4 linked regions of the Rattus norvegicus genome follow. The protein of the gene in region 1 interacts with the protein of each later gene in a biochemical or structural test. Links are inferred from orthologs where the notes say so. Each region holds a gene or a part of one and is shown on either strand. Other genes may lie near its edges. The genes, in order: Mcm4, Dbf4, Cdc7 and Mcmbp.

Region 1 (7,485 bases):
TCTTAATCTCTTGAGCACTCGGGCAGAGGATTACTGAAAGTTCAAGGCCAGCTTGGGCTTTTTAGTGAGATCCCTGTCTCAAACCCAAAAAGGAGAAATTATTTTTTTTTACACATAGCTATATATTCAATTTTTTTCATGTATTTATTGCTGGGGTTGGGGAAGCATGTCATGAACAGCTTTTATGTGGAGGCCTGTTTGTAGAGGCTGGTTCTTTCCACCATGTGGATTCTGGAGATCAAACTGAGGTGGTCAGGCTTCTAATCAGGTATCCTTAGTTACGGGCCCTCTTGCTGGTCTCTCTCTCTCTCTCTCTCTCTCTCTCTCCCCCCCTCCCTCCCTCCCTCTCCCTCTCCCTCTCCCTTTCTCCCCCTCTCTCCCTCTCTCTCTCTTAATAATAGCTACATATCTTACACTCATTAAAACGTAATATTGTTTCTCTACATCAAGAGATTCCTTCAATGTTTTACTGATCCTCTGGCCAAAGAAGAAGAAAATGTTGGCATAGATATTACGCAACCTTTGTACATGCAACGACTTGGAGAGGTAATCAAATATGATTTACAAGTGAAAGTTTTATATTTTGAGATAATACGATTAGTAAAATATGACGTACGTGTATCTTACAGATTAATATTACAGGAGAGCCATTTTTAAATGTGAACTGTGAACACATAAAATCATTTGGCAAAAACTTGTATAGACAGCTCATCTCCTACCCACAGGTAAGAATTTGACTTTGAGCTTCCTGATTAACGTAAATGTTTACCAAGAATGTTCCTGGCAAGCAGAATTATATTTTGGTAAAAAGGATACTAGCAAAGGTTGACTATTTCTTAAAGCAGACTGTTTTTCTACAATTAATAGGAGGAGTACTTTTTTTATATTTACTAATTGGTAATGCTTCTTAAAAATAATGAACCTTACTAGTGGTTTCTTGGGTTTTATGGGAGGGGGTGTTAATTGAAAGCCTGTGAGGCAGGGGAATGTTCAAAAGTAGTTTTGTAGTTGAAGAGAACTTGAACTCCTGATTCTGTGGAACTCAGAAGAGGAGTTGGAGTTAAGGGTGCTTAGGAGCCACCTGATCAAAGTGCTGAGACCTGAATCCTGTTGCCTAACAGAGCAACAAATGCTCTCAACTCTGAGTCATCTCTTCGTCCCCTACATCTTGCTGTTTGTTTTCACAGGAGGTTATACCAACCTTTGACATGGCTGTCAATGAGATCTTCTTTGACCGTTATCCTGACTCCATCTTAGAACATCAGATTCAAGTCAGACCTTTTAATGCATTGAAGACAAAGAGTATGAGAAACTTGAATCCAGAAGGTAATATGTTTAGTATAGAGAAATGCCTTATGTAGAAAGAGATCTCAAGGTTTGTGTGGTGGGTAACGATAGCATTAGATTAGAAGTTGAAAAGATTTCTTCTGTATACTTTTATCAACTTAGTATGCATTTTTTTAACTTAACTGGAATACCTGATAGAAATGACTTAACAATTCATTAACTGTAAAATTAATTTATCCAAATATAATAAATCCCTAGCTCGTAGGTGCACTTTTTTAGTCACTGAAGAAAAATACTAAAAGCCAGCAAGGCAGCTCAGCTAGAAAAGCAGTTGCTGAGCAAACCTGATGATCTGAGCTCTCCTTAAACTTAAGAAAATTCTAGCTTGGGGGGTAAAGAAAGCAGGAGCAGAAGATAAGTGTCTGTTTATGCCTTAGGGAATAGACAAAGTCCTGAACCTATAAAGGAAAAGTTGGTTGTGAAAGATAATAGAGTTTGATAAGTGAATGTGATAGAATTTCTTTTAGATAACAGAAAGCAAGGATAAAATAGAAAATGCTGTTTGCATCTGTGGCTGGCTGAAGCAAGGATTTGTGAGACAGGGTTTGGGACCCAAAAAGCTAGCTCTAGAAAGCTTAGAATCCCAACAAAGAATTTAAATTTTATTTCAAAGTAAATAGGGAAATTTTAGAAGAGAAAGATTTTCCACTCGTGTAATTCAGTGAAGCACATGACATATAAATTCATTTAGATTCTGATGGTGGCTCAATTATGAGACATTAGCATCTTAACTTGGACAGGTCAGAATTATGTGTTTCCATGTGTGAAGTTTGTAGTGTAAATTAGTGTAGATCACTCATCCATGTGTGAACCTTTAAAAAAGGTAGTAAGGGAGATAGCTACTAGGTAAAATCATACTTTTATTTTAAAAAATCTTACTTCTGGAAAGAAGAATGGCTGAGTGATCAGCTAATTTCAGAAGTTGGCACATTGCATATAAATTTTAAGGGAAGGAGGGGAGGGTTAGCCCAGAGTGGCAAACAAGAAAATGGATGAAATATATTTAAAGGCCTTGTGAGGAGCACTGTGTACTGGTGGGACAGGAGGGCCTTTGAGTCCAGCAGAGGTGTTAAGGAAGGAGCAACTAGAGGAGAGGCATAAAAGCAAGAGTAGAAATGGAAAGCAAAAGTGTAAAAGAAGCTTGTTTTATAGATAGTGTTACTGATAGGCAAAGTGCTTTTTTTCTCGTAGGCACTAACTATAAAAATAGATGTGTATATTTATGATGTCCTCAGCTATGTCCTTGCTTCATTTGGTAGGTGTCAGAAAAGGAGGCTCAGAGTATCCTCGGGGTCATAAATGCTTTGTCCATGTTGTCTAGACTGTTCTTGTATACAAGGACATGCTGTGCAAGCCAGAGGAAATGTAGGGTATCATTTCTCAATTGCTATCCAGCTTTTTTGATTGTTAATGACAGGGTTTTTCACTCAGCAACTAGACTAGACTGTCTGGCTGCCTAGCAAGCCCTAAAAATTCTGGTTTCTCCTCACTGCTGTTGAAATTATAAGCAGACCCTCCCCATACCACAAGCATTTTCAGCCCAAGATTTTTACCTGAGATTTCAGGTCTTCCAGGTGGTTTTGTGGATGAGATGAAAGGCTGGGAGACAATATACCTACACATCAAACTTCTCACCTGTTGATGTCTTCTAAGCAGTACACCTAAGGAACAAAGGGCCAGACGGGGGCCAGCAGTTAGCCAACAAGATGGCTTAATGGGTAAAGATGCTGAAACTGACCACATGGGTTAGATTCCTAGCACTCACATAGTACAAGAGAGCTGACTTCCATAAATTGTCTTCTGATCTCCACACTTGCACTGTGGCATGCATGTGCTCATATACTGAGAGAGGGAAGGGGAGCAGAAAGAGAAAGAGAATAAAATAAAAAGTTCAGAAGTATACTGGTGCTGAGAGGAAAGCAGGCTGGACATAGGTAGAGCATCCTAGGCTAGTTCTGAGGATACTAACCAGCTGATTCTGCTGATGGTGCATGCTGGATCTCTGGTCATCTATACTTCTACTTGAGTTGAGATTCTGCTTTAGTGGCAGACCCAGGCCTGGGTGGGCTGAGGGAAGTGGCTGGTGGACAAGCCAACTTTTCTTCCTTTACAGACATTGATCAGCTCATCACCATCAGTGGCATGGTTATCAGAACGTCACAGCTGATTCCCGAGATGCAGGAGGCCTTTTTCCAGTGCCAAGTCTGTGCCCATACCACCCGGGTAGAGATGGACCGAGGCCGAATTGCTGAGCCCTGCACTTGCGTACACTGCCACACTACCCACAGTATGGCACTGATCCACAACCGTTCACTATTCTCTGACAAGCAGATGGTACGTGGCCCCTCTGCACCCATGATAAGGTTCTCCAACACACACTGCTACCTGTGTCCTGCCTCTCTGTAAATCCTCAGCCAAATTTAGTTTGTCAGTTCACCCTCAACCCTCCTTGGTAGAACTCTGCTCTTTCCATTTTTGTTGGTTTTACTAGTGACTTGAATTTAGAGAACACTGAGGCTTTAGTATTGCTATACTATGTCTCAAACATCGTATAAGCACTATACAGAGACCTGTAATTATTTTCCATGTTTTTTTGTTTGTTTCTTGAATTTTTCTCTTTACTCTTCTTCAGATCAAGCTTCAAGAGTCTCCTGAAGATATGCCTGCTGGGCAGACACCTCACACTGTTGTCCTTTTTGCCCACAATGATCTTGTAGACAAGGTTCAGCCAGGGGACAGAGTGAATGTCACAGGTAAGAATGTAGATTTGTAACAAAAAGGCAAAAGTTATGCTGTGGTTTACTACTATTTAACCCTTTAAGTTCTCAGATGCAGGTTTTAAAATCAGGGTCCTGGTGGGTCCTTGCCATGTAGATCTATCTCTCAGAACTTTGCATATGTCTCAGATTGGTAATGTTGATGTCACAAGAGCAGCATTAGGGAGTATTTATTTAGTAACTCAAGGACAGAAAGCCAACTGGGGTTCATAAATGCATGTTTTTCTACTATTTCCTACGTGTACAGGTAAGGGTTAACATTACTTAGAGAGTAGGACAGAACACTTTACATATAGCAAGCTATTGCTGACTTTTTGACTTGCAATTCATTGCTGCATAATTTGTGTTTCTAGATTCTAAATGCTGTCTCTTCATGCAGAAACTGTCCTGTCTTCAATGCTATTTGCATGTGGCAGACTTTCTACATTTTGGAGGAATGTTGTGGGTACTTGGTCAAGGGTGATGGGTTGAGTGACAACATTGTTCTTCATGGGGATTTGAATCCAAGGATCCCTGACTTCTGAGTCTGGGGCTCACTGACCCAGCTACCCAGTAAGTCAGGATTTCTTCCCCAACATAAGAGAGCCCTACAATCCAATTTTGCCCCCACCCCTTGCCCTTAGTTTTCCCTCCAGTGCTCTTATCACCTACAGGAACAAACCGGAGTGTTCAAAATGTCATTAATAATCTAGTTCACATTCCTCCGTGAGTAAAGTGTAATTGTTACATAAGTGCTGGGGGTTTTTTTTGAAATTTTGTATATTGGGGTGAAAAAACAGGGAATTAGCTTATAGAAGTCTTCTTCTTCTTCCACATTGGGACCTGAGGATTGATTCAGGCTTGGTGGCAATTGATTCAGGCTTTACCTGCTGAAGCATCTCACTAGCGCTATAAGCTGGTTTTCTATTTTTAATGAGAATTACATTGTTTTGTTAAAGGATCATGATCTGTGCTATAAGGATGAGGCGATCAGGCTTAGTCCTCAAAAGGTAGAGAAATGGTCCAGGGGATCAAGGTACATGCCATGCAATTCTGATGACCTGAGTTCCTTCCCTTAGTCCTACATGATGGAAGGAGAGAACCAGTTCCCAAAAGTATCCACTCACCTCCACACACCACACCCTGGCACATGCGTGCAAACACACAAGCGTCTTATACACTAATAATAAATTAAAGATTTTATTTTTTTAAGAAACAGGAAATAAAATTATTGTGAAGTTCAAAGCTAGTTTGAAACCCAAAGAAGAGCATCAGATATACCAGTTTAATAAAACCTTCCTTAGAGATTGTATACATTTAGAGTGGTTAAAGTATTATTTACCACTTAATTTCTCTGAATTACCTTCTTTGGGGTGATGGTGGCATGCAGTAGCAGGGGTCAAGCCCAAGGCTTTGCATATATTAGGCGAATGTTCTGCTGTGAACTCTATCTCCAGCCCTTAATTAGATTCATGAGAAGATATGCAGAAAATATCCTTTCTCTAGTATTAGTCCTAAATTGTCATTTTCCCTTCACCTTTAAGTAGTCTGTCTTGCTATTCGTAAAATTGCTTTCTAAAGATTTGGGTTTTTAGGGTTTTTGCTTCCAAGTTTTTGGTATGGGCTTTAGTATTTTGTTCAGCCAATTACTAAGTAAATTCTTTTTACTTTTAGCTTAAGGAAATGACATTACTATATTAAATACTGTCATGACACAGCCTTTTTGTTATTCATTTTGCACCTACAATTGTGTACTGAATAGTTATGCAGATAATTCCCTAAGCTCATATAACACAGGTGATTACAAATATGATTTTGGATCTGTTCTTAAAAACCTGTTTCTTCCCCACCTTGGCCATTTCTTGCGTGTCTTGACTTCTGAATGGAAGCCTTAGCCTGGAAGACTAAGGTAGTGGGTGCTCAAGTGAGATGGAGCCCCTAGGTACTGCACATTGCCTCTGCTGACCACTGAGCTTACAGAAGAGAAGTGGAAAGGTAGTTGTGTCTCCTCTCTATGTTCTTAGGCATATATCGAGCAGTACCTATTCGAGTTAATCCAAGAGTGAGCAACGTGAAGTCTGTCTATAAAACCCACATTGATGTCATCCATTATCGGAAAACGGATGCAAAACGTCTGCATGGCCTTGATGAAGAAGCAGAACAGAAACTTTTTTCAGAGAAACGTGTGAAATTGCTTAAGGAACTTTCCAGGAAGCCAGATATTTATGAGCGGCTTGCTTCAGCCTTGGCTCCCAGCATTTATGAACATGAAGATATAAAAAAGGTAACAATGTTTTAGCTTGGTATTGAGATTCACAGTTATTTAGAATCACGTAACTAAAGGTCCATTTGCCTCTGTTATTGTCTTCCAGAGGTTGGAACTCTTTGCTCTGTAACATAGCAAGGCACTGACTCCTGCCTTGTGGATAGTTGAGTGTTAATTTTGGGGGGAGGGGAGGTGTACACACTTATTCGTGCTTTGCATATTCATGTTTTGAGTGTTACTATTTTGTTGTTTATAGACCCATCTCTGCTGTGTACAATCGTGTTCCTAAACCTAAGTTATGTGGGGTCAGAACAGGGATTCATGCTGGTCAAGTTTTAGGATAATGTCTACTTAGGTTAGGAATACTTAGAATGGCCTGAGTACTCTTAGATGATTTGGTAATACTGTGAACTTATAAAATAGAAAAGAACCTCTAAAACATATGCTAAGCATACACTGTACAACAAATGAATGTTTAGATGTATTTGTTTTTTTAGGGAATCCTACTTCAACTCTTTGGTGGAACAAGGAAGGATTTCAGTCACACTGGAAGGGGTAAATTCCGTGCTGAGATTAACATCCTTCTGTGTGGTGACCCTGGCACCAGCAAGTCCCAGCTGCTACAGTATGTATACAACCTGGTTCCCAGAGGCCAGTACACATCTGGAAAAGGCTCCAGTGCAGTTGGCCTCACAGCCTATGTGATGAAAGACCCTGAGACCAGGCAGCTTGTCCTCCAGACAGGTGCCCTTGTACTGAGTGACAATGGCATATGTTGCATTGATGAGTTTGACAAAATGAATGAAAGCACAAGGTCCGTGCTGCATGAGGTCATGGAACAGCAGACTCTGTCCATTGCAAAGGTGAGTGCTGATGTCCACTATGACTGCAAGCTCACAATAGTTTGCAGTTAAAGCTCTATATTAAAACTTCTTACATTAGTTGCTTTTACTCACTAATATGTAGTACTTAACAAACTTGAGTTTGTGTTAAAGTTACTACCAGTTTGTTTTTTGATTTGAAAAATGTGGCCGGAGGGATGGCCCAATGTTTGAGAGCAGTAGCTGCTTGGCCAGAAAACCTGATACAGATTCCTAGCACCCACCCACATGTGGC
Region 2 (7,485 bases), on another chromosome or scaffold:
GTTTAAGCTTTAGGAAATGTTAAAACTTAATGATTTAAACTGAAGTGCCAGGTAGTAGCTAATTCATTACATCTAAGTAAAGTGTAAAATTCAATGGCCTGTTTGTACTAGCTATATTTCAGATGCTTTCTGTCCATTTGTACACAGCATAGTGCAGGGGAAGAAGAGTTGGTCTCTGGAGAAGAAGGCTTCGTTGAGGTGATTGTGATTCCAGCAAGTCACTTCCGTTTCCATCTCCAATATATGTAGATAAGTAGCAGGAGAGTGCATGGACTACATTAATTAGAATAAAGTACTTAAGAATAGTATCTAGCATGTGATATTATTGTTAATGAAACTCCCATTTTACTTCCTCAGAACTATGGGCTCAAAAATGCAGCATGAAAAGCGCCAATTTGTAAGATATTAGATTACATGAAATTGGAATTTGTTCACAGTGTCTTTAAAGAGCTTTGGAATTTTTTATAAATACTTTGTTTTCTTCTAGCGAGTTGAAGAATTTCTCAGCAAAGATATCAGTTATCTTGTTTCAAATAAAAAGGAAGCAAAGTATGCACAAACGTTGGGTCGAGTTTCTCCTGTACCAAGTCCGGAATCTGCATATACTGCGGAAACCACCTCCCCTCATCCCAGCCATGATGGAAGCTCCTTTAAGTCTCAAGACAGAGTAAGTGTGTCATCGATGCTTTGAGACCTCATGGCTTTCTTTTTGTTTTAAGACAAGGTCTCACAATGTAGCCCTCTCAGACTGGTCTTGAACTCTCCCTATGTAGTCCAAACAGACCTCACAATTCTCATTCCTCCTGCCTTAGTGTCTCCCAGGTCCTGGGCTTACAAATGCTTTCCCTCACACCTGACTCTGGGCTTTCGGTAGCAGGGTTACAATGCATAGGTGGAATGGTTATAATGCCAAAGATCTGTGGCTTTCTCGCCTAATTTTGCTGTCATTTTGAAAGGTGATTATTTTTCCTTAATAACACAGTAGTCAAGTTGTCCCCTGATTCTTAAAGCATGCACTTACAATTTAGACAGGTTGCTTTTGATTTTTAGAATAATTTACAGCAAAAGTAAATAGCCAGCCATTCTTTTGAAGAAAAATAGAAACTTTTAAAACTTTCAAAGTAGATAAACCAGCCATCTACAGTGTACTGACTGACTGTGCACAACCTTGAAGTTAAGCATATTTTTACATATCCAGAGGTTGGTGGGGGGAAAAAATCAAAATAGTATTTTGTGACAAGTAGAAAATATTTGTGTAAATATTGTATAAATGTTAGGGCTGCTTGCATGCTTTAGGTGGAATTTAGTCTTTGTGACAAATATTATGTGGTCTACAAGGCCTACAGTGGTATACATTTGTCCCATTGCATAAAAATAGTTTTGATCCATGCTTAAAATTTTTCTTGCAGTACATTTCTTTCAAATTGGAAGACAAAAGGAAGGGCAAACTGATATAAATACTTAGAAAAGACAGTAAGAGATAAAACGCTTAATGTACCTAAGTTGTTATACTAATATAATTAAATTGGCATTTGAAGCAGAGCCACATGAAAAGCAGTTGAAATGCACAGGAAACATGAATTGCAAAGGCAGTCTGTGAGGAAAGGCGGACACTAGGTCAGGCTTGTGCTGTTCAGTGAGAATGACTACAACTGCTTCATAGCCTTCCAACCACTGTTTGTGCTGCCTTACTTTAAAGGTGAAATAATTTATAAAAGCTGTGTATAACATTTATTTTTCTTAAATCTTCATTTAATATAAAGCTAAGCCAGGCCTGTTGGCCCAGCTCCTTAGGAATGTGAGGCAAGAGAATTACAAGTTCAGGGTAGTTAGAACAACTTAGTGAGACCAAATCTAAAGTTAAGGTTTGAGAAGCATTGGGGATACAGCTCAGTTGTAGAATGCTGCTAGAATGTACCACCAAAAAGGAAAAAGAATCAAATCTGATGTTAACCTGAAAAGTGTAGATTTTTTTTTCTTTTTCCTGAGACAGATTCTCATGTAATTCAGGCTGGCCACAAATTTGCTATATAGCTTGACTTTAAAGTGTCAGTGGCTGTTAGCTATTTTCATTTACTAAAGAATTGGTCCTCTTGAGTCTCATTCAGTTTCTGCTTTTCTTTTTGCTTGGTATGTTTGTTGATGTTCTCTGCCCTGGAAAAAAAAAAAAAGAGGGAAAAAATTTCAATTGTCGTGCCAAGAGAATAATGAAGCCACTTTTCACTGTAAATTTACTGTGTTCATAGCCATTGGAACAATATAAACAACACTTATCTACTTTCAGGGATTTCTCTCTTCTAACTTTCTCTCTGATGAAGTACTGTAATTATTTCCTTGGTCTTCTTACAGGTGTGTTTGAGCCGAGGAAAGTTGTTAGCTGAGAAAGCTGTCAAGGATCATGTGAGTAGGACTTTGGAATTCACAGCGTGCGGGCTTCAGCTGGAGCTCAGCTGGGACAGTGCTGGTCTAGCACGTGAGATCCTTAGCTCTTCATAAGCCAGGCATAGCAGCATACACCTGTCCTAACAACTCCAGGGAGCGAGAGGACTAGAAGTTCAAGGACAGCCTCAGATACATAAGGGATTCAACACCAGCCAGAGCTAGAAACATCCAGGGACAGGGAAGAAGTAAAAACACGTGATGCATATTTTGCTTCTTTAGTGTCTTATTTTCTGAGACAGTTTCTCATGTAATTTAGGCTGGCCTCAAATTTGCTATATATCTTGACTTCCAAGTGCTGCCATTATTGATATATGCTGTCATATATAATAGGTGTACTGCTATATTTTATTAAAAATTTAATTGTGGGCTGGCTAGGAGACTCAGTGGGTAAAGCTGCTTGCTGCCAAAACTAGTGACCTTAGGTTGATACCTAGGACCCAGATGGCAGAAGAGAAAAACTGACTTGCAAATTGTCTTCTCATGTCCAAGTGTGCACTCTGGTGTGTGTGCACTGATACACATACACACAAGCAAACATACATATAGAGTAAGTAAATGTAATAAATACTCATGGAACTGGTAATAAAGTTGGCAAAATGCTTGTCATGAAAACAGTAGAACCTAAATTTGGATGCCCAAAAGCCACATCAAAAGTGAAGAGCCAGGCATGGCGAGATGTGCCTCTGATCCTAGCACTAGTGTTTTGGGAGGGCGAGGGTAAGACCCATGGGTCCCTAAAGGTAGTTGGCCAGTCAGCCTAGCTGAATCAGTGACTTTCAGTTTCAGCAAGTGACTCTATCTAAAAAATTTAAAGTGGGGAGATTGAAAGACATTTGGCATTGACCTCAGGCCTCTGCGTCACATAGACATGTATACACCACATACACAAAATTTTTAATTGAAAGTTGAAGATATTCTGGAGATACTCCAGAATATATAATTTTTAATGAAAAAAGCTCAAGTTACAGCATATCTCATTCTGTCAGAAATAGAAACTTATTTTTCCTGGAGGAACACCCCCATCTTGTGGTCATGCTAAACATTACTGTAAACTTTAAGTTACCTTAGAATAAACATCTAATTGTTAAGAATATACACTAATTGTTAGGCCAAGCACAACAGGTATACCTTTATTCCCAACACTTGAAAGGCAGAGATGGGGATTTCTGACTTCCTGGCCAGCCAGGGCTACAAAGCAAGACCTTGTTTCAAACAAAACAGGAATATATTAATTGGAAACGATTTAAGAATGCCAAAATATAAAACAGGGTCCTCATTTCTATTGTAATTCATTAGGGACATTTATGCATAATCTCTTCAGTGGCATTAAGATTTAAATAAATTTTAAGATTTTAAAAAGTTTTAAAAATAGTTTTTAGACAAACTTGTTTTTTTGTTTTACAGGATTTTATTCCTGCTAATAGTATATTATCAAACGCCTTATCATGGGGAGTAAAGATTCTTCATATTGATGGTAAGATGGTCTTTTGACAATATTTGTTGTACATACCTATGTCTGTCCTTTGGGTCTTAGCTTTACATATAAAAATTTTGGTAGAAGGGGAGTATCTCCAATGTTAAACCCTTAACGTGAGGTTACTGCCACTTAACATCGCAGATTAACTCTAAAGGTAAAATTGCTAACCTTCAGTTCTTCTTTCAATAAAGACATTCGCTACTACATTGAACAGAAGAAGAAAGCTTTGGGTGCACTCAAGAAACCAAATACTTCTGGGAGGGATTCGGTATGTAGTTTGAACTATTCTTAAAGGCGGCAGCCTGGTTTTTGTTTTTGTTGTTTGTGTGTTTGTTTTTAATATCTATGAGTAATTCCCCCATAAGTAAAAAATTGGTTTCTGAATTGTGTGTCATTTGACTTGAAGCTTATATTCATGAAGTAAAAACTGTTTTGGGGGTAAGAGCATAGGTTTTTTTCATCCTTTTTTGTTGCTGCTATATTTTAAGAGATATTTTGTTTATTCTGTAGAAGAACACTAAGATTAGCCTATCATATAAGAAAATCCAAAGGTGTTTGCTATTGTGATTGTCCTATTGTTCTCCTATCCTCGGAGCGTACAGTCTTTCCTGTTTTCATCTTCAAGGCCTCTATACAGAGTCACTGTCTACACACTAGACTCTCTGATTGTACACCCCTGTCTAACTACTGTTCCATCCGTATACTCCATTTCTTACTGTTCTGCAGATCTCTGCTCCTATATTTCTCACTCACTTTTAACTGACAAGGTATGGAACTCAGAAGCAGTTAGCATATCCTTTGCTTCCTTTCAAAGCCAGCTGTGTTGGTTTTCCTGTGTTGCCCAGTCCTTCCTTGAACTCTTTGCTTCTCCCTGTTCTCTCTTATTTCTCGGACCATTCTTTGTTGGTTTGTTTTTACTGCATAAATTCTTAAACGACTTACATACAAAGAAAAGAAAGTTCTGTGCTCTGGCACATAGAAAGAAGGAGACAAAGTAGTTAGGAAATTTGGTAATTTCATGTAGCAGAATAAGCAGCTTGCACTTCAGGACTCCAGCAACACCAGGGACTTGTATCTGAGGTAGTGTCCATTGAGATTTCCCCCTCTTCCGGTTAGAAATGGGTATTAGGCATTATCTTTGTATGTACCGGCACCTTTGTCACTTACGTTCTGCTACTGAGTCCACCCAGAAACTTTTGCATTTTGAGTGCCATACCCCTTTGATTCCTGTTCAGTATAAATCTTTTAAGTATCTTTTATGTGGTTAATTTTGGCTACACACAAGAAATTGCCAATGTTGTGTAGATTCCTTACCTATTACAATAGTTAGACAAGACTGATTTTGTTTTTGCTGTTGCTGGTTTGTTTTGGTTGGTTTTGTTTTGTTTTGTTTTTGAGGCAAGGTCTTACCAAGGTAGCTCTAGCTGTCCTGGAACTCACTCTGTGGATCAGGCTGGCCTCAAACTCACTGAGCTCCATCTGCCTCTGCCTTCCGAGTGCTGGGATGAGGGTTGTGCACCACCGTGCCTGGCAGTACTGCTGTGTTAACAGCTTTGTTTTTGTCCAGATTGTAAATTCTGTCCTGAATTTATGGCTGCCTGCAGTTTTTAAAGACTTGCAGCGCTGGAGTTGTGGGTTTGTCTTGAGATTTGGGTAGTGATTAAATCTTAGCTCCACTTCCAAAGCCCTTCCTGTGCTCACACTTTGGATCTTCTTGCAGCTTGGGCAATGTTGATGCTGAGTTCGACCCAGCACGTGTGTAGATTAGGGAGCTAGGGATGCCCTTCTCCAGCTTCCTCCTTAATCCTCTACTCATGGATCTCTCCCCGACCTCCTCATGGAGGTGACTGAGGATTTCCCGTACTGCCCACACTACTGCCCGAACTACATTTTGGAGGGCACACACAGGACAACTGGAAGAAAAAAAATAGAGATTTCTCTGGGCTACTGGAGCCTCTTTCCTTATTTCTCTAGTGAAAAAGATGAAGTTAGTGTAATTTTTAAGCTATTCACTGTGACATCTTTATTACTTTAGGTCCTAAATGTGATACACCTGACACTAAAATCTGCTTCCTCCTTAAGATTTTGCTATACCTGTGTAGTGGCTCACTGGGTGCTATTGAGAGTTTAGTTGTAGTCAGTGCATTGACTCACCTGCAGGTATGCATTTCACATAGGTCTGCACTGTTAACTGTACCCTTTCCATTCTAATTAATGTTAAAGGCTCAGTGATCAGTACCAGCGTCACCACTCTCCAACAGAGGGTGTAAAGTGGGCTGAATTCTGTAGAGATGATCAGTACCTTTAATTCTTGAGTGCCATTCAGTTATTTGGTTGAATTGATTTTAAGAAGCATGATTTTCACCCTGTACAATAGCCATCCTGCTTTGATAAAGTATTTTTCCTATACATTTTTTTTCTCTTGAAAGTACTGGACAGTTTTTTCTGTGTTTTTAAACCCAATATTTTCACTTTATTTGTTTTCTTTTTTTAAAGGGGAAAAAAGCTGGTACTGGAATACAAAAAGCAAGAAGTAAGTATTCCTGATACATTGTTTAATTTTCTTTTATAGATTAGAAAAAAATTAAACATGAAGATTAAAGCTTGGGCCCTTCTAACTCAATGATAGAGCACTTACCACAGGTACATGATACCCTAAGTCTAACCTCCAGGATACCCAAATGTATGTATTTAGAAAGCTTTTCTGAGGTAAAGTTCTTTAAACGATTTCTTAGTAATTTGTAGAACATGGACGTTTACTGTTTTAGACAGTCTGGTGACACTTAAGCTATTCTTCCCCATGTTAATAATTTTGTAAAGATGCTTTATTATAGGTGTGGGAGGAGTTTGAGTACATTATTACAGATGTTCAAACAAGATAGAAAACGGTGTTGGGTCCCTAGAGATGAAGTTGTAGCAGTTGTTAGTCTGACATAGGTGCTAGAAACTGAGTCCTCTACAAGATTGTTCATGCCCTCCATTGCTGAGCTCCATCTCCAACCCCGAAATTAATATCTTCAAAACTGTTTTTAAAAATGTATTATAGTCCCAGAAGAAACAACTACTCAAATCCATTTACTGGGATGAACATAAAGATTATTTTGAGATAGCTTTTTAGTGTGAAAATATTCACACTGAATATTTTGTTGAGCTGTGCCATTCAGCTTAAGAATCTCATATGGTTGGCACCAATGCATGGGTCTGCAGTCCCAGCACCGCAGAGACCAAGGCTGGAGTATGGAAACTACTGCCCAGCCTGCCGCAGTCCAGATTACAAAATCCAAAACAAATCTCAGCATGTGATATGGAAGATATTTTACCTGAGGCCTACACTTTTCAACTCTCTGGGTGTAAAGGTTTTCTAGATGCTTTAACCACAATAGACTCTTTACTGATGTGCAACTGTCTAATGGTATTTTCTCTTCTTAAGCAGGGAGACTCAAGAAGCCGTTTTTAAAGGTTGAAGATGTGAACCGGTAAGTGTCAGAGTCCAGTGTGTTGGAAACTGAGTTGGGACTATAGAGGAAGTATGAAGGAAAAATACTGCATTATTTGATGTACACAAA
Region 3 (7,485 bases), on another chromosome or scaffold:
TTCGACCTTCCCTCTAAGGTTCATGTGCATTTTCCACCAGGGGGCAGGACAATGTCATGGGAGTGAAGTACTGCTTCAGGAAGAACGACCATGTGGTGATTGCTATGCCCTACCTGGAACATGAGTCTTTTCTGGTAGGTTTTAATCGTTTTTAACTTTAATCAGCTAAATGGTTAAATTGAAACAATTTGTGATGTGGTTCATAACTCTCTTTTAGGACATTTTGAATTCTCTTTCCTTTCAAGAAGTTCGAGAATATATGTTCAACCTTTTCGTAGCTCTGAAGCGGATTCACCAGTTTGGCATTGTTCACCGTGATGTGAAGCCCAGTAACTTTTTATACAATAGACGCCTGAAAAAGTGAGTGCCAAGAGTCCAGGAAGCGCTGGCATCGGGTTCACGCTGCGGAGCCCATCTCTGAGACGCAGTGTTCTCAGTGTGACTGGGGAGGGGGAATGGAATGAAGAAAGTGAGATTGTGTTAGGAACATGATGCGCATCCTGAGAGACGAACTTAGGTGGAAGGAATTGGAGCCTGGCCTGTTTTGACCTTTGACCTTGTTTTTATTTTTGTTTTAATGAGAATGTTGGATCACATAATCCATTTTCTGTGTGAAAACCAAAGTTATTACATGAGTATTTTTGTTGATTCTATATGGACACGACCTTATAAATATCATACTTAGGTATGGTAAGGACTTAAAAGTATTCACTGGCCCTTGTTTAGTTAGAAATTTTCTGCTGTTGCGCCATCTTCCCTGCTACAAGGCAGGGTTCTGTCGTTTGTCTCTGCTGAGTCCTCTTCTGCTAAGTCCTCTTCTGCCTCGTCTTGGTGCAGGCCAGGGAGCAGCAGACAGCACTCGGCCGGTTGGTTCAAGGACACAGCTTTAATGTCCAGCCTTAGCTATTAAGTTCTTGGGAATTTTTAGTTTTTCTTTTTTTAAAGAATATTATACATTCTTAATTGTTCTAGAATGAAGTATAGTTTTGGATGTGATTTGACAACATCACAATGTTATTAAGATTGAATCTCTCTAGGAGGGTGATAATACTCGATTTGCTTCTAAGGTATGCCTTGGTGGACTTCGGTTTGGCCCAAGGAACCCGTGACACAAAGATAGAGCTGCTCAAGTTTGTCCAGTCTGAAGCTCAGCAGGAAGATTGTTCACGAAACAAATGTCATGGAGTCATTGGACACAAGGGCCCACTGAGTCGCCCAGCACCTAAAAATGTGGATCAGCACATCACCACAAAAACTTCTGTCAAAAGATCCTATGCAAACGCACAGATTCACATTAAGCAAGGAAAAGACGGAAAGGTTCTACCTTTTACATTTTCAATAAGAACGATTTAGGAATGTTTCCCATCAACCAACAGAGGGAGACCTAATACTAGGAGAGCACTTAGGGTTAAGAAGCCTTTGCAAACCTACATTACATGTTTTAGTTGGTTAGTACTGAGTGTTACTGAATCAATATCCTTTGTTTAAACTGAAATGTTCTACTCTATCAGCTTATGGTTTGCAGTTATAGATTACATTATATGATAAAACAAAAATTCATGTTATAGAATTTAAATTAGATGTCTCCCCTCTCTCTTTAAAGAGCATTATTACAGGGGAAATTCTGAAATGTCTGTCTCCATTTTGGCTGTCCAGGAAGATGAAGCGCCTGTGCGGGTGGCCTTAAAGTTCTTAGTGTCGTGGGTGTGCACTGTGGTGACGTGGTGTGGGTGCCGAGCTTTGCCTAGACTGTGTCTCCTCTCTGTGCCCGAGTGCCTGGGATGTCTTTAGTCTTTCAAAACTGTGGCAGAGGACAGCTGGCAGAAAGTGTTACAGATCTAACCCTTAACTCTCCTTGTCTCTGTTGGTATTGTAGGAGGGGTCTGTAGGCCTTTCTGTCCAGCGCTCTGTTTTTGGAGAAAGAAATTTCAATATACACAGCTCCATTTCACATGAGAGCCCTGCAGAGAAAGTAAGTAATGTAGCTTCCTAGCCCAGCTGTCAGTCAGCCGCACGGACCGCTCAGTCAGCGAGTCCACTGGGGTAGCGCCTGTTTGGCTTTGGCAGAGGCACTGCTACTTCACACGTTTACTCAGAATTCAGTCTTCAGTCTTTCACAGACTCCTTTGGGTGGAGTTTTTTATTTTGATTATCTATTACCATTCTTTCTCTAGAGAACAGTCAGAACAAGGTTGGGCTTCCCACGTGAGCTCCCAGGCCTCCCAGTTCCCACAGTCAGTGCCCTCAGGTCGGATGGTTTCCAGTTGGCGAAGGCACCTGTGATGAGCAGCAGGCTGGTGTGGGCAGTGTAACTGCAGGCGACGGTTGTGACATGGAGTCAGACCTCAGTGATTAGTAACTGTTAGTACTGGTACAGTGTTTCCTGCTGTATCGGGAAGTGTTCTACTACAGTGTTAAATGTTTGCCAATATAATAGTAATTTTTAATATTATTTGTCAGAAAACCCAAAAAAGTTTTTACACATTTTTTTTTTTTGAGACACAGGGTTTTTTTTTTACATAGCTTAAACTGTCATCAAACTTGGAATCCTCCTGCCTCAGCCTCCCTAGTTGTGCTGTTATTAACCATGTAGAACCATGTTCAGTGGCCTTAAAATGTGTTTAGACTTGCAATCTGGTAGTACCCTCAGCAGTTCTGAGTGAAGCTCATGCTTCTGACGCTGCTTGTAATGTGCTCACACTGGAAGGCATCGTGTTGAGTGTCACAACTTCTTTTGTAGCTCATCAAGCAATCGAAGACTGTGGACATAATGTCAAGAAAGCTAGCAACAAAAAAGATGGCCGTTTCTACAAAGGCTGTGAATAGCTCGATGAGGGACTCTGCCAGGTCCTGCCCAGCTGCCCTCACGTGCGACTGCTATGGAACAGATAGAGTGTGCAGCGTTTGCCTGTCGAGGTAACATGCTCCTGCCATGCTGGAGAGTCATGGCAAATGACTGGGATACTGGTTTGTGAGTGAGAGGGAGTGACAGAGGCCCTAGTCACGGCAGTGCAGTGAGCAGACAGCTTGGCACGTACTCAATGGGCGAAACCACTTTCTCTGGAAATCACAGTTGCTGAGTGCAGCTGGATGGGTAGGACCCCTGGAGACCTTTGTTTGCAGATGGCATTGTTTCTGCCCTCTCCACCCTGCCTGCACTCAGTAACCAGGACAAGGATGCGTCTCTTCAGACGTTGTTTTCACAGATCTTTCCTGATTAACTAAAATCTACACGTGAATGAGTATATCAGTAACTCAGGACTCCAAACAAGAGTTTTTATATGAATTCCTGTCAAGTTATATTTTTCTATTATGTTTTTTATTATCTGCCATCTGTTTTTATACTTGGAAATTGTGTTGAAATCTGTCTGGGACAAGGCCAGGGCATAAGGATTAGGCCAGGGTGTGGAGGTTGGGGAATAAATGTTTATCACATTAAGTTTTCATTGCTTATAGGAATTTTATTTATACTGCTACCAGGACAGGATTTTGTGTGAACTAAATTAATAGCTTACATAGGGATTTTTGTTCTCTCTCTCTCTCTCTCTCTCTCTCTCTCTCTCTCTCTCTGTGTGTGTGTGTGTGTGTGTGTGTGTGTGTGTGTGTGTGTGTGTGTGTGTTTGAAACAGGGTCTCTAAGTAGCCCTGGCTGTCCCAGAACTATTTATGTAGGCGAGGCTAGCCTCTGTCTTCCAAGTCCAACTTCAGCATAACTGGCTGTCTTATTTCTTCCTCTTAAGGCGGCAGCAGGTTGCCCCTAGGGCAGGCACACCAGGATTCAGAGCGCCAGAGGTCCTGACAAAGTGTCCTGACCAGACTACAGGTACAGAGCTGGAGAAGGGCCCTGCTCTCACCCTGCAGAGGGCTTCTCAGACGATGTGTTTCTTTATGCAACTTCTGATCTTAATGCTGCTTTTTAAAAATAACCCCCACCCCACTCCACCCTATAGATTATATTTGTTCAGACTATCTGAAAGATAATTTCACAGAGAATTCTTGCTGTCAGCTGTCAGGGACACTGTATATTCAGTCTTTTTCTTTTTTCTTTTAGTTTTTGGTCAGGGTTAGAATCGCAGTGCTCACCTGTTTACTTAGTACTTTGGAAATTCTCTGTGGTATAGGTGGAGTTTTTCTTTTTCCTTTTTTTTCTTCCATGAAAATAATATAATAGCAGTTAACATATTTTGAAAAGGGTAAAAGGTTACTAGAGTCCAAAAAGCTATAGAGCCTAGGAGACTCTGAGTTAAATGAGCAGCGGCTCCTGCGGGTCCTTGGCTCCACTGTGCACCTGCCTTGCTGTCATGCTGTAGAATGAGCACAGCTGTCCCCATTCTCGTTAGGACACACATGCTCATGAGCACAAAATGACCTGTCAAACGTGCTGACGCTCTTAGGGCATTGAGGAGCGTCTGTCACCCCAAGGGTTGTGAAAGGAAGGTCGTGCGATAGAAAAGGCACCTGAGGAAAGCCTATCCAGTCAGAGATTGGCATTGAGCAGGGCCCAAGAGCCTCAAGAAACAGCATCTCTGAGGGGGAGGCCATGAGTAGTGTTGTTAGTACAAAGGGGAGTCAGGAGACGTTCGATGTGCACCGAGTGACTGCTGGGACTGTGTGCCATAGCTGCTGTTCAGGGGGAGAGAGAATGGCTGCGTCCTAGGAGGCCAGTGCAGGGAGAGTAGATTCTGCAGGCTAGTATCCTGCCGGGGTCCAGCTGAGGTGAGGAGGGCCTGGGTGCACACGTTTGTAATAAGAATGAAAATGAAGGTGAGCAGATGGCAGACAAGCCAAGAAGGTGCTGCGTGTGGACACTCATGGTGGGCTGAAGGGAAAGCTCTCGGAATGTTCACAGTACTGGCTTGAGGGACATGGGCGTGTGCCCAGAAACAAGACAGGATGACCAAGAGCCTGGTCAGAGCAGAGGTAGAACTGCACTGAGCCGTGGCTGGGTTGAGATCTGTGGCACATCCAGATGGATTGTCCTACAGAGCAAGAGGTCAGTGTGGAGCCCAGGGAAGGAGCCCGGGAAGAAACACAGTCTAGCATGGGTAAAGGAGGGAAGTAGACGGGAGAATGCATGGCGAAGAGATTGGACTCTGAGGAGCCTCAGCTCTGACTGAGCAGACAGTGATTCAAATGAAACTAAGAGAGGGCAGTGCTGAGTGGCCAGGAGAACTCCAAGCACGTAACACTAGGGTGTTAGGAGAAAGGTCAGGTCAGCCTGGCTTTGTTTCTGCTCAGGTGCTAGGGCTCAAAGCCAGGCTTGTAGCTGTGCTGTTGTCAATGCTCAGTGTGTCTCACTGAATGGAAGATATGTATCTACCAAGTCACCATCTTGAAGAACATCCAGACTTCTTCACATATAGCTCTTGTTGAATTTGTTTTGACCCTATAAAATGTACATTTACTTTCAGTTCTCTAATGATGAGCTATTTCTAATCCAGCAGCGTGCTCAAGAGAGAAAACTGCTCTGCAGAAAGAGTGTTGAGCTAGGGTTGTGGTCGCACTTTAGAGTCTCCCAAGAACCTTCAGTATCTATTCCATAAGTATTTGAGGGAGTTCTGATGGATTGAGCCTGGGTGTCTTAACTTGGGCTTCTCAGATGCTGTTAGCTCTCAGTCAAGTCCTGCAGCTACTGGTTTAGGTGATCATACATTGAGAACTTCGGGCTAGTTTTTAAAGTATGTTTTCTGTCACAGCGATTGACATGTGGTCTGCAGGTGTCATATTCCTTTCCTTGCTCAGTGGGCGGTACCCGTTTTACAAGGCCAGCGATGACTTAACTGCTTTGGCCCAAATCATGACAATTCGAGGATCCAGGGAAACTATCCAGGCTGCTAAAGCTTTTGGTAAGTTTTAAATCCTAGAACAAGCAGATGCTTTTGATTGTCGCCTATAAATTGCTAAATAAATGTTACAAAATTCCCCTTACAAGTAAGCTTACTCAGTATTCATGTATGTACCCTTAGGAAATCATTCACTTGCTTGAAAACAGTTACTTTGTTTAAACAGTTATTGTTTACAGTAGAGTGCCGTGTGCCAGCACACACAGCACTAGTGACTGGTGTGTAAGAGTAGACAGTCTGTACACTACAGAGTGCTGTGTGTGTACACTAGTGTTTAAGGCTGAACTTTACATTCCTTTTTCTTTGTCAGCTTTGTAATCTGTGTCTTCCATTGTAATTAGCTTTTATTCTGTACATTTTTATAGTAAGTTTAAGTCTGTTGTATATTAAGCATTGTACTTGGCCCTGAAGTAAGGATTCTGTGCAGGAAGGTAACAGAAATGTGTATTACTAGCCCTTGGTGTCTGTGTGGTCAGGGTGGCCGAGAAGAAATATCATGGCATACTGTCATGTGTGCACACATGCATGCACACATGACAAGGGATTTCTTTAGTTTTGAGACAGGGTCTCACTGTACCTGTGGCCCATCTGGAGCACACAGGGCTCCTCCTGCCTTTCTCTGCAGTGCCTGTATTGCAGATGTGTGGACCACACTCAGCTCATGAGCATAAATATTAGCAGCACAGGTTAAGACTGCAGCGGCACAGTCTACAGGGTGCCGAGAGTCACTTCAGCCTCGCTCTGGTAGCCCAAACTCAAATGACCACGATGTGTGTGTCTGTTCTCCAGGTAGCATTATAGTTGCTACTTCCCAAAGGTTTGGGTGTGCTTCAGTCAGTGGGTGGTGTGGACAGACTCTCAGTTGGCCTACCCCAGCAGTAACTAAGCCACTGTGTGCCCAGCCCCAGGGCCAGCAGTTCTTAACCAGGAATACATATCAGAACTAACTAATGAGTGTTAAGAACTGCATATATCGGCCCCTACCCTACTCACTCATGGAAAATACAATGTAGAAAATGGGAATACTTGTTAGGACTCCTTGTGCTTAGAATGGCTGTGAAATGCCCTTGCTTTGGAGCTCCAAGGTCTGATGTGCCAGGACCCTGTGTGCAGACTTCAGGAGAGGCTCATAACCAGGAAGTGTGGGCAGCACTGACTGCAGTGTGTGCCTGTTACCTAGTGTAAGCACTTTGTTTGAGGTTAATAGGCTGAATGATGCACGCAGGGGAGGTGTGACATAGGTGTCTTGAAATTAGTATTCCATCTCAAAGAATGCAGCATGCTCACCTATGTTCTCAAAGAATGCAGCATGCTCACATGTGTTCTCAAAGAATGCAGCATGCTCACATATGTTCTCAAAGAATGCAGCATGCTCACATGTGTTCTCAAAGAATGCAGCATGCTCACATATGTTCTCAAAGAATGCAGCATGCTTACATATGTTCTCAAAGAATGCAGCATGCTCACATGTGTTCTCAAAGAATGCAGCATGCTCACATATGTTCTCAAAGAATGCAGCATGCTCACATGTGTTCTCAAAGAATGCAGCATGCTCACATGTGTTCTCAAAGAATGCAGCATGCTCACATGTGTTCTCAAAGAATGCAGCATGCTCACATGTGTTCTCAAAGAATGCAGCATGC
Region 4 (7,485 bases), on another chromosome or scaffold:
AGAATAACCACTTTCAGTCCCCCAAGAGTCTAGGGAATTGGGGCAACAACTCTTCTATAATTTCTTCAAGCTGTACATGGGCATTGAGATATCCTTGGGGGTAGGAGGTAGGAAGAATGAAGCAAATGCTGTAGCGGATGTGTCCTGACTGGACCCAGCTGAAAGAGCTTGAGACCAGGAATCCCAGTAGGCACACTCCGCAAAATACAACTCTCAAGACAAAAGTTTAGAATCCAGATATCCTTTTGTTTAATTCTCCTAAATCTAGTTTTTCAGGCGGTCTCCCTCTCTCAATTCTGATCAGTATGACTCTGTGAGGTTTCCAGAGCCTAATCACACTTTTTTTTTTTTTTTTTTTGGTTCTTTTTTTCGGAGCTGGGGACCGAACCCAGGACCTTGCGCTTCCTAGGTAAGCGCTCTACCACTGAGCTAAATCCCCAGCCCCCCCACACTTTTTAAAAACACAAAGACTTTCTTTAAAAACACAAAAATCTTTCTTCCAAAATACTGTGTTCCTTATTCTGTAACCAGAAAAGCTTGTATCTTGCACTCTCTCCCAGAGTAATAATATAACCATAAAACTCAAAGTCACACCCATTATGAAGATTAAACAATTTTAAAAAAGGAAGTAAGCTAAACAATGAGCCTGATAGGCTTCTGTACTCTGTGATATCAGGAAATTAACCCAAAATTCCTGTGGAGCCCACGTTAAGAGAATCTGAGTTTCCTGTTGTGGTAAATATCAAAAATAACCACAAACCCTCCCTAGCCGGCATCAACGAGCCATATGGCCTTTAGCAGATTAATTCATAAAACAAACTAAACACGTATCAACTCTAATATCAATAAGCAACTTATCAAACTAGGACTTTAGCCCAAACTATATCCATCTGTTAAGCTGTCTACCCAGAGCCACAGATTTTTATTTAACCTTAATAACTTGTAAATATCACAATACTCTACTTGGAGTCAGGACTAATTTTTCCCTAACTAAGTTCTGAACCATGGATGAAAATCCCCACGTGATAGGATAATCTCTGTACTCTCCTTAAAACAAACTGAATCACCTTCAGATAACACCTGTCTTTAAGAAGTAGCTTGTCTAACTTAGGATTTCAACTCAAAATTCCCGCGGAGCCCATGCTATAAGGAATATGAGTATCCTGAAAGACTTTCTTTACAACTTTCTTTAAAAAGCAGCTTTTAATCTCTAACTCTCTGAGCTGCCATTACTTATCACATAACAGGGAACCTATTAGGCCTTTCCTTTGTTTAAGGTTCCTGCGTTTGGGCCATCATGTGATTCAACATGTCGCTGGTCCCCTCTTACTTAGAAAATAAAACTTTCAACTCTTAGGATTACTAGTGGATTCTCGGCAATCACGCTGGTTCGCCATCTGTTGTTGTAAAATTGTAAAAGAGCTGTTTTTTACCCCACTAGGTCTGTCACCACAGTGCCCCAAGATATCTGATAGATATCTTGCTGGAAACACACATCCCAACTCCATGGTGGCCCAGTGTCTCTGCCACCACACACTCTCCCAAACTAAATTCTCCACAAGAAAGAACACAACATAATAACCTCTGATCCAATTGATAAGATATAATTGCCCACCTAAACATACAAAGCCCTATACACATCTATCCCTTAAAAATATTCATAACAACCTGTAAATACACAGAGTGGAATCTTTACATCCATGTTCTCTCAGCAGCTTCTCTTCCAGTCTCCTCCAGTCTCCGTCCTTTCCGTTCCAGTCTCCTCCTCTTCCCTCAAACTTTTCTCCTGCCCATCCTCTATTTCTATATTTTCTGTAAGAAACTATGAATTTGCACACACATAATCTCAGCACTTAGACGGTTGAGGCAGAAAAAATTGAGCCTGGGCTGTGTAATGTAGGAGGACCTTCTCAAAAAAGAAAAAGCCCTGAGTTCACACACATTCAATACAAGCTGTCGTTCTAATTTCTTCCTACTGTAGTTGCCCACCTGTCGCCCTTGGTGTGTTCTACAGTGCACACAGAAGGGACTTAAAGGCCAGCAGTGCCACCATCGAAAGAGCCTCATCCTTAGAAGCTCTGTGTGCCCAGTGTCTTTGTTTTCCTTTTTCGTCTTCTCAGACAGCGTGTTACTATGTGCATCAGGCTGGCCGCAAACGTGTCAGTTCTCCTGCCTCTGCCTGCAGCATGCCAGGACTACAGGTCTACACCGGCATCCAGTACCCCATTTTTTAGAGTGAGGCTTTGTATGCAGAGTGCTGCCCTCCACAATGGCCCCTTTTGATTCTGGTATTCCTTTTGTGTAGGTCATTTGTGTAGTCACATTTCACTTCCCAGCTCTTCTGTATCCCTGCCTCATGACTATGCGATTCCAGAAGTGCCCAAGAATCGTCTTTGTGTGTTCCACAGCTCTTTTGGTCTCTCACTGCTGGGACCCAGCTTCCTAGTCTCTGGCTGTCCCTCCTGTGTTTGTACATAGCTGTCCATGTATGTTCATCACAGTCCTTTTTCCTTCAGGAGGGTATTGTGTATTTGTGTGGTCTGGACCAGACGTGGTGACGTAGACCTTGCTCCATCTTTCCTTTTGCCAAAGGGAAGGAAGGTGCCACCAGCTCACTTACAGCAGGCCTGTCATCGGCCTTCTACATACAGAGCAAAAGGGAAGGAAGGTGCCACCAGCTCACTTACAGCAGGCCCGTCATCAGCCTTCTACATACAGAGCAAAAGGGAAGGAAGGTGCCACCAGCTCACTTACAGCAGGCCCATCATCGGCCTTCTACATACAGAGCAAGAGCCCAATAATCTTCATACTTAAAAATACTGGGAAAGCCAGGCATGGTTGCATGAGCCTTAACTATCAGCTCTCCAGAGGCATAGGCAGGCAGACCTATGAGTTAAGGCTAGCCTGTTCTGCATAGTGAATTCCAGGATGGTCAGGACTGCATAGTGAGACCCTATCTCATAAACAGAAGAAAGAAAAAGAAAAAAAGGAAACAACCACAACACCAAAATGTTGGCAAATATTTTCTTGTTGTCTCAAGTGTAGCCATGGCTAGCCTGGAATTCACTCTGTAGCCCAGTCTGGCCTCTGCCTCCCTAATGCTAGGGTCGTAAAGGTGTGTGTCATCACAACCAACAGTTTGCCTTGTAAATTACTTGACCACTGAGGCCTCTTGGCTCAGAGGGGAAGGGCACAGACTGGGGCAGATTTGGGAGCAAATTTGTGAACTTGTCTCGTGAGATCTGACAGTTTGTATAGTGTTGAAGACTTCGCACACTTTAGTCATTTGTGCAGTGACTCCAGAATGAGTATCATGTTTGTTGATTAGCAAGCCTGAATGTTCACACTCTTCTAATCACTTGCTCACACTTTCAAGAAGTATCACATCAGAATAAAGTTACGCAAAGACCATTAGCAAGATAAAAGTGAGTGGTCTCCACACTAAGTAATAAAGACCTGTGGATTTTGGAGAAAAAGATCCCAGTGTCGTTACCTGCTGAGAATGCAAGGAGCATCTGCTTTGACATGGTCTTCTGAGTGACATCCTCTGTCATGTACACGGCACCACCCATGGCAGTAAGTCAGACACCCAGTCTTGGCAGTAGAATAAACCCAGTGACTGTACGCTGACCTGGCAGGTGTGAGTGATAAAAGCACTTTAGAGTGAGGGACAGAGAACCCCTCGAATAGGATTCTGAGTTGTCTACAGAGTGCATTTACTTTTACACTTTTGCTAGTTGACATCTCTAAACCAATGTATCCCTCTCTCCCCAGGGATGCCTCTGCACTGCTGGACCCCATGGAATGCACGGACATGGCCGAAGAGCAGAGAGTGCATAGCCCTCCCGCTTCACTAGTGCCAAGAATTCACGTGATTTTAGCCCAGAAGCTGCAGCACATCAATCCATTGTTACCCACTTGCCTTAACAAGGAGGAGAGCAGAACCTGTCAGTGTGAGTGTTGGGGCCTACCGATGGCAGGTTCCCTGTGTGAACTGCAGTCCCTGCTCAGCACAGGGAGTTTTCTAGTCATGTCTGTGGGAGATGAGACCTAAACGACGAAGGGTATAGATTGTCTTTGTTCTCACGTCTATGTCACTTTCTAATTTTTTTAAATTTTATTTAATCTTTTTTTTTACACTCCAGATTTTATCCCCCCTCCTCATTTACCCTCTGACTGGTGCACATCGAATACCCCCCAAACCTCTCCCCCTCACGTCTCCATGAAGATGTCCCCATCCCACCCCCTACCCCACCAGACCAACCCCACTCTCCCTGGAGCCTCCAGTTTCTTGAGGCTTAGGTGCATCTTCTCTGATTGAACCCAGACTGGCAGTCCTCTGCTGTACATGTGTCGGAGGCCTCATCTCAGCTGGTCTGTGCTGCCTGGTTGGTGGTCCAGTGTCTGAGAGATCTCAGGGGTCCAACTTAATTGAAACTGCAGGTGCTCCTACAGGGTTACCCTCCTCCTCAGCTTCCTCCAGCTTTTTCCTAATTCTACCACAGGGGTCAGCAGCTTCTGTCCATTGTTGGGTGTAAATATCTGCATCTGACTCTTTCAGCTGCTTGTTGGGTCTTTCAGAGGACAGTCATGATAGGTCCTTTTTTGTGAGCATCCCATAGTCTCAGTAATAGCGTCAGGCCTTGGTGCCTCTCCTTGATCTAGATTCTACTTTGGGCCTGTTGCTGGACCTCCTTTTCCTCAGGCTTTTCCCCATTTTTGTCCCTGTAGATTTTTCAGACAGGAACAATTATGAGTCAAGAGTTTTTGACTGGGATGCCAACCCCATCCCACTTGATGTCCTGTCTTTCTGCTGGAGGTGACTGTACAAGTTCTCTCTCCCCACTGTAGGGCATTTATTTCATCTCAGGTCCCTTCCTTTAAATCCTGAGAGTCTCTTACCTCCTAGATCTCTGGCATATTCTGGAGGGTCCTCCCACTGAGGAAGAGTAGAATATGCGTGTGTCAGGGCACAGATGTGGAGGTAAAAGAAAAACTTAGAAAATCCACCTCTCCTGCTGCTGTATGGGTCCTGGGGATCAAGCTTAGGTCATCAGACTTGGTGGCAAATGCCTTTACCCTCTGAGCCATCTTGCCTTACCCTAATGGCATCATTGTCTCAAGAATTGTAGTACTCCCTCCTGCTCTTGTACGTGCACACTCTCATTGGCCATTCCTTCCTTCTGCAGTTGTGTCCAATTTCATGTCCGAGTTGTCTCCAGTCAGAGCAGAGCTGCTTGGATTCCTCACTCATGCACTCTTGGGAGACAGTTTGGCTGCTGAATACCTTATATTGCATCTCATCTCCACCGTGTAAGTCTGTGCTCTTCCTGGGAACTGGGGTGTGGGAGAAAGAAGGGAACAGCCGTGATGTTTGTTTGTGTCTTTTAGTAAATCAGCTTTGTCTTCAAGTGGGTTTTTACAAATGCTGCACCAAACACAGACTCCTTTCCCCACTTTACTTCGTTTCACATAACGCATTTGTTTCCGTCTCCAGATGGGATGTGACTGATGAGTAAGACGAACTGTTGGTTTCTCTGCACTCGTTTTATTTTTTATTTTGTATATACTTCAAATGTTGTATCTCCTGGTCTCCTCCCTATACCCTGTTTGCTTGTTTATGTGTGTATACTTCTCCAGGCTCTGCTTATAAAACAATGAAGTCTGTCTTTGTGTACATTTAGTTTGTGTATTGACTTTAATGCTTCCACCCTGTTTTGGTTCAATTTTTTATTTTGTTTTTGTTTGTTTGTTTTTGTTTTGAGACATGTTTTTTGTTTGTTTTGTTTTTGGCTTGTTTGTTTGTTTGTTTGTTTAGCCTTGCTCGTCTTTAGCTCTGTAGACTAGACTAACGTCGAACTCACAGGTCTCTTCCAGCCTCTGCCTCAAGTGCTGGAATTAGAAGTGCACACCACACACCCAGCTAGGGCCTGGCCTTTCACTCCACCATATTGGGTTTTTGGGTTGGTTTGGGATTTGTTTTTGTTTTTGTTTTGTTTTTTGTTTTTTTGTTTTTTGTTTTGTTTTTTTTTGTTGTTGTTGTTGTTGTTGAGACAGGGTGTCTTGGAGCTGTCTTGGAACTCACTCTGTAGACCAGGCTTCCCTTGAACTCAGAGATCCGTCCACCTGCCTCTGCCTCCTGAGTGCTGAGATTAAAGCACCACTACCTGGCAGGTTTTTTGGTTTTTTTTCCCCCCCAAAAAGAAAAGCAAGAAGAAAATTATCTTTCACGTGGGCAACAGTTTTCCCATCTAATACTCGAGCATATTCTTTGGTTTATGTTGTAATGTGGGCCCATCAGTTGTGGTTGAAGCACACACATCCTTACCTGCTTTTTAGATTTAATATTTAGTTAGCCTATCACAATACTTTTTTTTTTTTTCTCTCTTTGAGATAGGTTTTGTTATGTAGTCCTGGCCTAGAATGTTCTATGTAGACCAGGCTGGCCTGGAACTACATCAAGATCCTTCAGCTTCTGTCTCCTGGGTGCTAGGATTAAGGGCATGCCACCATAGTCAGCCTTCTTCCTAAGCTTTCTAATGACCTGATGTTCTCTCATTATAGATTTGTGCCATACTGTAACCATTTCCCAAAACATTAGGATTTTGTACTTTTTTTAATAAATGCTGTGATAGAAAGCATCTTATCTCCTGTCCCCTGGTGGCAGCTAAGATGGCGGGTAATGCTCAGGGTCACATCAGAGCTCTGTCTTGGCTTGACTAGACATCCCTCATGGAAAAGCACGGAACTCAGGAAGTCTGCCGTGCCTGCGTCATAGGCACACTGTTGAAGTGAGATGGTGAGGCAGTGACCACCAGCTCATGTCAGCCAGGCCTAGCCAGTAAATCTGCAAATGTTGTAAAGCACTTCAGGTCTCAGCATTTTGGATAAGGGATGCTCTCCCCATTCCTCAAAGTGGCTATTATTTAACTGCCGTTCTGATAGATAAAAAATGTCTATTTTTACCTTATATGTATGGCTATTTTGTCTGCATATCTGTGCATGCAGTGCCTGTAGAAGTCAGAAGACGGCATCTTCCTAGAACTGGAGTTACAGGCGGTTGTGAGCTATTCCGTGGGCCTGGGACTTGAACCCTGGTCCTCTGGAAGAGCAGCCAGTGCTCTAACTACTAAGCCATCTCTCTGCTTCTGCAAACTTTATAATGATGGCGTCTCAGTATCTTACCCTTGGTTTTGTGTTCTTTCCCTTCTCCTAGGTATACAAGAAGAGATGTACTTCCACTGGGAAAATTTACAGTTAACCTGAGTGGTTGCCCACAGAACAGCACCTTCACGGAACACCTATATCGGATCATCCAACATCTTGTTCCAGCAGTAAGATAATATTATGAAGGCTTATGAGTGGGACAAACCCAATTGTTTTCCACTCACCTTGAGTATTAACTTTATGTTCCTAGTGGGTCTCATTTACAAAGGACAAGACCTGCCAATTGACATAATTTAAAATGCACCCAGCATTCACTGA

Evidence for each region.
Region 2: of the proteins of Mcm4 (region 1) and Dbf4, one has a biochemical effect on the other in vitro, tested with the Homo sapiens proteins (2 studies listed by BioGRID). The link is inferred for Rattus norvegicus from reciprocal best matches to the Homo sapiens genes MCM4 and DBF4.
Region 3: of the proteins of Mcm4 (region 1) and Cdc7, one has a biochemical effect on the other in vitro, tested with the Homo sapiens proteins (2 studies listed by BioGRID). The link is inferred for Rattus norvegicus from reciprocal best matches to the Homo sapiens genes MCM4 and CDC7.
Region 4: the proteins of Mcm4 (region 1) and Mcmbp form a complex in vitro, tested with the Homo sapiens proteins (2 studies listed by BioGRID). The link is inferred for Rattus norvegicus from reciprocal best matches to the Homo sapiens genes MCM4 and MCMBP.

What each region holds. Positions count from the first base shown.
Region 1 is NC_086029.1:98,764,321-98,771,805, forward strand, and holds part of Mcm4 (DNA replication licensing factor MCM4), read left to right. Parts: intron 1-450; coding exon 451-546; intron 547-629; coding exon 630-725; intron 726-1,187; coding exon 1,188-1,326; intron 1,327-3,460; coding exon 3,461-3,681; intron 3,682-3,979; coding exon 3,980-4,100; intron 4,101-6,127; coding exon 6,128-6,387; intron 6,388-6,866; coding exon 6,867-7,232; intron 7,233-7,485. UniProt on the Homo sapiens protein: Acts as a component of the MCM2-7 complex (MCM complex) which is the replicative helicase essential for 'once per cell cycle' DNA replication initiation and elongation in eukaryotic cells.
Region 2 is NC_086022.1:26,639,799-26,647,283, forward strand, and holds part of Dbf4 (protein DBF4 homolog A), read left to right. Parts: intron 1-487; coding exon 488-667; intron 668-2,349; coding exon 2,350-2,400; intron 2,401-3,846; coding exon 3,847-3,916; intron 3,917-4,110; coding exon 4,111-4,187; intron 4,188-6,415; coding exon 6,416-6,452; intron 6,453-6,544; exon of another isoform or gene 6,545-6,562; intron 6,563-7,349; coding exon 7,350-7,395; intron 7,396-7,485. UniProt on the Homo sapiens protein: Regulatory subunit for CDC7 which activates its kinase activity thereby playing a central role in DNA replication and cell proliferation. Required for progression of S phase.
Region 3 is NC_086032.1:2,953,617-2,961,101, reverse strand, and holds part of Cdc7 (cell division cycle 7-related protein kinase), read left to right. Parts: intron 1-40; coding exon 41-134; intron 135-217; coding exon 218-360; intron 361-1,067; coding exon 1,068-1,317; intron 1,318-1,876; coding exon 1,877-1,972; intron 1,973-2,740; coding exon 2,741-2,916; intron 2,917-3,739; coding exon 3,740-3,822; intron 3,823-5,695; coding exon 5,696-5,845; intron 5,846-7,485. UniProt on the Homo sapiens protein: Kinase involved in initiation of DNA replication. Phosphorylates critical substrates that regulate the G1/S phase transition and initiation of DNA replication, such as MCM proteins and CLASPIN.
Region 4 is NC_086019.1:192,711,309-192,718,793, reverse strand, and holds part of Mcmbp (mini-chromosome maintenance complex-binding protein), read left to right. Parts: exon of another isoform or gene 1-409; intron 410-3,774; coding exon 3,775-3,953; intron 3,954-5,189; coding exon 5,190-5,313; intron 5,314-7,216; coding exon 7,217-7,334; intron 7,335-7,485. UniProt on the Homo sapiens protein: Associated component of the MCM complex that acts as a regulator of DNA replication.